Nothobranchius furzeri: one gene and its partner. The protein of the gene in region 2 binds, or shares a complex with, the protein of the main gene of each other region. Links are inferred from orthologs where the notes say so. Each region holds a gene or a part of one and is shown on either strand. Other genes may lie near its edges.

The links.
Region 1: eif3ea (region 2) and eif3g share a complex: the UniProt entries of both Homo sapiens proteins name them as parts of the eukaryotic translation initiation factor 3 (eIF-3) complex. The link is inferred for Nothobranchius furzeri from reciprocal best matches to the Homo sapiens genes EIF3E and EIF3G.

What each region holds. Positions count from the first base shown.
Region 1 is NC_091745.1:3,309,795-3,313,932, reverse strand, and holds the start of eif3g (eukaryotic translation initiation factor 3 subunit G), read right to left. Parts: upstream 2,801-4,138; 5' UTR 2,720-2,800; coding exon 2,697-2,719; intron 2,608-2,696; coding exon 2,561-2,607; intron 1,642-2,560; coding exon 1,553-1,641; intron 1,464-1,552; coding exon 1,404-1,463; intron 1,329-1,403; coding exon 1,224-1,328; intron 937-1,223; coding exon 741-936; intron 657-740; coding exon 546-656; intron 437-545; coding exon 300-436; intron 150-299; coding exon 43-149; intron 1-42. UniProt on the Homo sapiens protein: RNA-binding component of the eukaryotic translation initiation factor 3 (eIF-3) complex, which is required for several steps in the initiation of protein synthesis.
Region 2 is NC_091745.1:54,014,676-54,018,956, reverse strand, and holds the start of eif3ea (eukaryotic translation initiation factor 3 subunit E-A), read right to left. Parts: upstream 2,801-4,281; 5' UTR 2,758-2,800; coding exon 2,668-2,757; intron 1,806-2,667; coding exon 1,688-1,805; intron 1,444-1,687; coding exon 1,326-1,443; intron 1-1,325. UniProt on the Homo sapiens protein: Component of the eukaryotic translation initiation factor 3 (eIF-3) complex, which is required for several steps in the initiation of protein synthesis.

The DNA of each region.
Region 1 (4,138 bases), about 51 Mb from region 2:
AAACACTGATCATTTTACTGACAACAGTGATAATTTACTTACTTGGCCCATTCAACATTGAGAATAAGATGATCATATCCAAATCCTGACACTCCTGCTATGGCTCTGGCAGCATCCTCCCTACGGTGGAAACTGATGAAGGCAAATCCCTGCAGAGCAATAAAAAAAAATCTGACTGATGATTCTTGATTTTTTCAGCGTCAATCTCAAATCCTAGATGGTAGATAACAGCAGGTTGCAGAAAAACTGTGAAAGGCCAGCACTTGTAAAGCCCAGTCACCCCTAAGGTGAGCACTAACCTTGGACTGTCCCGTGTTCTTGTCCTTTGCCAGATAGATCCTTGAGATGGAACCAAACGGTCTGAAAAGCTCCTGCAAGTCTGTCTCACGAGTGTCCTCAGACAGGTTGGTCACACGGATGGTAGCGTTGTCATCAGCTGTTAAACGCAATGATTCGTTTTACTGAGACGTTTATTCAACGCTGCATGACCAGATTAAAAATGACCACATATTGCTAATGTAGCACCCATACCAACACAAACTGACCTCTGCGGTTAGGCTGCATAGACTCCCCTCTTCTTGTGCCTCCATCTCTCAGGCTCGGCGGGACATACTTTCCAGTTTTGCTTTGTGCAGGCTGAACAGGCTCTGGCTCAGCTAGGAAAAGCCACAATTACTGTCACACCTTTAGAAACTAGCAGCAGCAGACAAGTGTGGTAATGAGAATGGTGATAATGGTACCAGAACCAGCAGTCTTTTCCTTGTCTCCAGTGGAAAGCCCAAGCTGCTCAGCCAGCTCCTTCTGCATGGGGCCCAGCGTGTCCTTATACGGGCAGCGGGTCGTCCAATGGTCCCCTTTACAAATACGACAAGACACAATCTTCTGCCCTTTGAGCTTGTTCATTGGATCCTCATCTTGGTCTTGGGCATTCAGGTCCTGCAAAAAAAGCAAGATTAGCAACTTTGATAAAACAACTTGATTACAGTAAAAATTACAAATTTGCAGCCATGAACTTCATAAATTCTGAGTCACATTACAGAATGAGAAGATCTAGAGCTGTTGAATGTGGTAATTGTGAACACCAAGCAAGCTGTAAAAAGTAGTGCAAGCAGCATTTTAAACCTGCTGCGAACTATCGATGCTCCATTAGAACATTTCCTAAAGAATGTTCTTGTTCGTTTTTGCGTTCTGAAGGAAAACAGCAACTTGGACATATCCTGTACCTCCTTGCTGGAGATGAAAGTCATGAAGACGTCATCGCTGACAGTGGTGGTTGCAACATTAGGACCCGGTGGGTCAAACTCAGAGTTGCCGAACTTCTTCCAGTTCTGAAATGAGAGTGGTAAATATCAGAAGGCGGTTCATTTATTAACTGCACTGATATGATTTAATAAAACACGGACCTTTCTTCTGGCAACAGCTTTTGAGGCTTTCCTCGTCTCGATCTTGAAGGTCCGCACAATCTAGAGAACCAAAATGTTTCACTTATAATATTTCAGGAGACATTTATTATTTGCCTTTTAAATTTATTGATGCAACATAAACAAAGTACCTTGAACTTTTTACCATCATCATCTATCTTATACTCAGTGATTGTTTTGATGTTTCCTTTGATGGTCTCCTTTGGTGATGGTAATGTGCCTATGGGATCAGAATCATTAGGGTTTTAGTGACATATGTGCGAGAAATCAGATTAGGAAATTGCTGCGGCACTTTGTGCAAAAAAGAACGATTAAAGTAAGAAAACAGCAAATATGGGAAGTAAGAATATAATCAAGATAAAGGTATACAACATTCGCAGATGCACGAAAAACAACCATAAGCTTAACATCCGGGGATACTTTAATAACTTTCAACTAAATGTGAGTTTATCTGGGACTGATCTGAACTGTCAGGATCAGGATGCTCCTGATGTGACGTCACATCTTCGTTTTCACATCAACTGGAACAGTTGACGACTTTAAATGTTTTATGAATATTTAATCAGTCTAGTTTCCGTCAGCATCATTATCTTGACTGTTTTTACACCCCTACGTCACTGTCAGGGGACCACTGCCTCATTATCATAACGCAATTTCTTAAGCCGTTCGTCTCTCAGTCACGCCAACCCATGACTGATTTAAGGGCAGATTCTTATAAAATTTAACAAACTTGCATATTTTAGCTCGTCTTTAATGCTGTTCAACCACGTGGAACTGCAACACCGGCCTCCTTTGTGTAACCGGGTCAGGGGAGCACTGAGTGTTTTTCTTTATATTATTGTCTCTTGTCTCGGGTCCCTACAGCGGCTTTGTGCTTTTAAATAGAAATAGATGGCGTTGCGTGTGTAGTCCCAGGGCCAGCATTGTCGTCGCTCCTCCCTCCCGTGTTTTAGAGTTTTTAGTCTACTTTTTATCCCGACCTGGGTTGTATCTATAAATAAAAATTGTTAAACTTGTGAATAAGCCTCTGCTGTTTTCATCAAGGGTTATTATCACCTACGGTTTTAGGATCTTAAGCATCCAACCCTCTAGGTCACATTTGCCACCGAGCTAGCTAGCGAAGCTAAAATGCTGTTTACCTTCATCTACTTCCTCCTCCACCTGGTCAGCCCAGCTGGGCTTTGAGCTAGAATAGAATCACACAAACTCGTTATTACAACGGTTACACGCATTCAATAAAGACACAAAAACCCTACGTTTCATTTAGACTCTTACTCGTCGTATTCAATCGACGGCATCCTCTCGGCTAGCCTAGCTTCGGAAGAACCAGCGCGAACCGAGCACCGCACTTCCGGAGGTTAAAACTTCGCAATAAAGGCACAACTCGTCAGACTTTTTCAAAATAAGAGCTTATTTTTGGTGCTGACAAAAATTGTTGACAAAATCGTAAAATTGCATAATAAAAATTCGTTGTTATTGTTATGAAAATAACTTCTCATGTGGATTCTTAATGTGAATTCTGTGGTAACTTAATTCGTATTTGTGCTTAAAAATATTAGGAGCATCAGATTTACACATTTGTTGTCAAATTTCTCAAAAGTCAAAAGAAGTATGATGAGTTTACAAATCACCCCAGTGGCAATATTAGATCGTTTTTATTTCATTACAAGCAAAGAAAAAATGCACATATTATAGAAAACATTAACTTCTTCCTCCTCCCTGCTGTCTCTCTTTTTTCACTTGGAACATTGTACTTGATGAGTGTGTTGTGAATTAGTGATGAAGGAAATTGCAGAATGAGAAAAAAATAACAAATGAAATGAAACTTCAATCTGGTTTTCAGTGGAGCAATAAAAGTACTGGAACTTTTACAAAAGTGCTCAATCACTATTCCAGCATAGATTTTGGGTCATAGCAATTATAGTTATGAAATAATAATAACAACAACAACAACAACAACAATAATAATAATAAATACAAGATGTTTGTTTTTCCTGATAGGTCATATCAACATAAGAAAACCGTCATTACATCAGGATTTGTTCCAACGCTGCAGGAAAGAAAAACTGTCAGCAGTAGCAGGTGCAGACAAAACGTGTGCAGAATTAATTTCATATAAAACTAGAGGTTCTTATGTTGTCTTTAAAAAATAGCAATAATATGTGAATGACTGTGTTGTGAAGCACCTTGGGGGGGTTGTAGAACCCTAAGAAGGCGCTATACAAATAAAGACGATTTATAATGATAATAATAATAATACATTTTATTTCAAAGCGCCTTTCAGGACACCCAAGGTCACTTTACACAAAACACGTAATAAAATACAATAAAACAATAATAAAACCCAAAGAAGAAACAACAGAGAGAAACATTTCAATAAAATCAGAGGTTTTAGGCAGATTTAAACATGTGTGTTTTGAGTTTTGTTTTGAAAAGGGTAAAACTGTCGACGTTCCTGATGTCTGGGGGAAGTGAGTTCCAGAGTCGAGGAGCAGAGCGGCTGAAAGCTCTGCTCCCCGTGGTAGCGAGACGGGCAGAAGGAACCGCAAGATGGATGGAAGAAGAAGATCTGAGTGAACGGGACGGGGTGTGAATACTTATAAGGTCTGAGATATATGGAGGAGAGAGGTTGTGGATTGCTTTGAAGGTATGAAGGAGAATTTTGAAGATGGACCTGAATTTAACTGGGAGCCAGTGAAGCTGCTGGAGAACCGGGG
Region 2 (4,281 bases):
GTAGCGAGTGAGCTCCTCGGCTCAAACTCTCTTCGGGACGGTTGCAGAAGCAGTGCTTGTCCGGGACTTCAGCAGGTCTCAAGAGCGTTTATTATTATTTTTTTGCCGCTGGTGGCAGCTCTGTGTCGGCCAAGGACTCTGGCTGCGCAGCAGCTGACGTACTGAAAACAAAAGTGCTCCCAAAGGAGCGAAGTAACGTTTCGTTTTGATACCAGTGCAGCCATCCTTCTCAACATGCATCATTGAGTTGAACCAAGTTCAGTAATCGCGGTGGCCCATGATGCAGCGCGGTGGGCTTCTTCATATTGCGATATTTCATTTTTGCGGTTACCGCAACAGCCCTAAAAGGCTTTTAGCACTTCTACTTGTTGTGGTTTTAAAGACGTGTCCAAGTCATTTAGAACAGAGGAAAGAGCCGCAGTGAACTCCGCTTCAGTCGCCATGTTTATGACAAACTCAGCGTTATGGTGTGTGACGTACGCTACTCAGCGCTGATTGGCTCGGTTAGAATTCTCAGGGGGTGGGGTTATTTGAATAGGAGAGTTCCCAGACCCTTTCTCTGTGCAGAATTAAACAGAGGAGGAGTCTGGCAGGCCAGGCTATATCTCCAGTAGTCAACGAGCAAAAAGGCGGGGTACACCCAGGACAGAGTGCCAGTCGACAGAAAATCATGTTCCACAAAATGTTGCCAATAATAGCAGAACAAATTGCAATAATGTCCATTGGCTTTGGAGACAGCTCTTCACGGAGCAAAGATGACATTCTTTATGTATTTAAAATACCACCTTATGAAGAAACAACGCTGTCAGCTAGTCAAAGACAATGTACATTTTTTTTAACTGAAGACTGACAGCAAGAAATAACTAAAAAAGGCTATTTTGACCAAATATCAACTTGGTTTAAACTTTTTCTCCCTTTAAACAGACAGAAACACAGAAATGGAAAAAAAATTGATTAACTGAAAATCCTCGGAGAAAGAACTAAAATGAATAATGAATCTAATCCAGCTACCTGAACCAAAGAAAACATAACTTTAACAGAGTTTTTTAGTCTTTTTGTGAGTCCAACAAATTTCATCAGCAGATATATCGAATGCTTCAATCAATACATGAAGCTCCATGAAGCAAAAGCTACATATTATAATTAAAGCGTGCTGTCATTATGTTTTATCTAAGGAACAGGGAGAAACATGATGGCAATAATGATGCTAAATAAGATGATGAAAAATAATTAGGAATCACAAAAATTAAGGTCCGATGTAAAAAAAGGTTTAAAATAAAAGGGAAACGATGTAGCTTATGAGCTAAAAAAAAAGGAGGCTTTACCTGGTGGACTGCATCTGCCTGGTTGTCTCAGGATCCTCAAACATCTTCACTATCGGTTCTGTCTCAGACTGAAGCTGCTTCAGCTGGGCTACAACCTCTGTCCTCTTCTCCTTCAGCGCTGATAGAGGATGAAGGAAGATTTTAGCTACAGCAGCATCATAAACCAGCATGCACACGATCTAGCCTCTCATACCGGAAACATTGTAAAATAAGTTGACTGCTTAATCAATTCCAAATGGAGTGAAAGACCAGCAAGTAGCTCTTTATGACATCAATAAAAATATACAAAATATACTGATGGGTTCTCTACCTCTGGAGAAAAGGGGATGTGCAGTGTGTGTCCAAAAAGCATCAACACTTACTATGAGGGATTTCCTTCTCAGGGTAAAGGTTTCTGTACACATCCATGGCAAAGTCCACCATGTTTGTGTCACTGAGGAGGTCCAGTTTTCCATGAAGCAGTTCATCCTCGTTGTAGATCTGAAACACACATCATCACACAATAGGACTTTAATATGAAGCAAATAAACTTATATTCGATTGTTACAAAATGCAAGTTATTTCCTAGAAAATATACTTTTTTTAAAAAGCCTTTGTTGCTCCTTTTCTTAAACTTGTATGTTCATATGAGCACCGTTCTTTAAAGTTGACACTAATTCATCACATTGAACCACTGAAGAAAGCAGCATTAAAGTAATCATCTAATTTGATGAACCTTTTTAACAGAAAGCTAAAATGTTCCAAACTACACTCCCAACAAACTATTAAAATGAACTATCGACATGTGATCACTTTAAATATTTAAATTTAGAAAACGTGTGTTGATAAAAGTTACTATTCTCGGTGTGCTTTATCGTTGACTATTTGTGTTTATGTTTTGAAAAACCACCGAAAAATAACCAATTACAACAAATGTCTATGTTGAGAAACGCGCATTTCTGTTAGCTTGGTAAAATCTAGCTTGCTATAATGCTACAAAAAGAAACTACAACTTCCGGTATTGACAACAAAAATAAAGTAAACTAAAGAATTCGCACGTGGATTTTTTTAAATAAGCGTTAACATTTATATACCAATGTATATAGAAACTACTTCAAGCATTGAAACATTGAACAGCACTGTATATTCTCCAAGGGGTTAGTAAAAATGCTCATCTCTCTGCTTTTATTTTTAACTCAGCTGTTTCTATTTCCGGTTAAAAATGTGTAGCATTCGAACACGGACAGACAATGTGGCCAGACTCGACGTGCTTCAGCGTATAAATCTGTTTAAAAAGCAAATATTGTTTCGTAAAAATACCAACAGCTTGTGAAGAAATGTTTTAAGCTGAAATATTTCGTACCCCTTTGACGGACAGGAACTCCAGAAGTGGAAAAACGAGATGACGGTCTAAAAAGTGAGCAATCTTAGTGGTGAGGTCGTACTCCGCCATGTTTGCTACGGGAAAGAGGAAGTGGCTGAATGATGCAGTTACGTACAAGCATACTGACCAATCAGAGACAAGCTCAGCATCCTTTAAAAAAAAAAGAAGAAAAAGACGAACCTGCTGCTTCCATAGAATGTATACAGTAATAATAATATGTTTATATACATATCAGTGCCTGCTTCTACAGAATGCAACATGAGCTTAGAAAATGTGTCACTGGTAAAATTTAAAGTGAACAAATTAATGAGAGTGAAATGCTAATAACATTGATTTGTGTACGCGTGTGGGCATGCAAGTTTCATGTGCTGTCCATTACAAAGTATTTCAATAAGTCTAGACATTAATACATTGAATATGCGTCTCACTCCCCCTTTTTTATTCTTTTGGTAATATTTGTTACATTTCCTGTACAGTGTAGCTGATTGAAAATGCTTGTTGATTTATTTATTTTTTTTACTTCACAGATTTGTCCAAATGATGCATGGCTGTAACACTTGCATTCCCATGATTTGGTCAGTGTTGATGTGGTAAAACATTAACCTTTTCCAGATGTATATAAAGTTTGTTGGAAAGAAAAACATACTTTCTTCCAGGCACCACCGATACGTCTACTAAAACTTTTTCATGAAGCTGAAACCCTTTAAGGGCAAATATTGACATTATTCGTCATCACGACTCCTCGCTCACAGGCCTGCAGTATTATAATGAAAACAACCAGTCATTTTCAATCATGTGACTTTTGCAAAAGGTTAAAATGACCATCCCTCTTTGTCCTCTTTAATAACAGTTACTGGCACACAAAGATGCCTATGTGTTGACCATATCCTGCTGAAAACAGCTAATTTTAACCACCAAATGGCTCATCTCCAACACTTTTCACTGCTACATTGTTTTCTTGACAACCACACTGCACTGTCTTGTGTCCTCACACAATTCTTCCCTTGTTGGCTCTGGCTTCTCTCCCTTCAACCTTCATCACTCTCCACTGACTGATGGCAGGTAGAAATTAGTCATAAAATGACACCACTCATTGTGTCCTGTTACTGTTTTACGGGGTGTTTTTTATAGAAGCAGCATCTGTTCAGCTCCAGTCCTGTGTTAAATTTTGAAAAAAATGGAAAGGGAATTGCAGCGAGAAGGTCCTGGGTTCGCTTCCCGGCGGGGGATCTTTCTGCACTGAGGTTGCATGTTCTCCCTGTGCATGCGTGGGTTCTCTCCAGGTACTCCGGCTTCCTCCCACAGTCCAAAAACATGACTGTTGGGTTAATTGGTCTGTCTAAATTGTCCTTAGGTGTGTGTGTGTGTGTGTGTGTGTGTGTGTGTGTGTGTGTGTGTGTGTGTGTGTGTGTGTGTGTGTGTGTGTGTGTGTGTGTGTGTGTGTGTGTGTGTGTGTGTGTGTGTGCATAATTGTTTGTCCTGTGTGTCTCTGTGTTGCCCTATAATGGACTGGCTCTCTGTCCAGGGTGTACCCCGCCTGATTGCCCATTGACCACTGGAAATAGGCACCAGCCCCCCCCGCTACCCTACGTG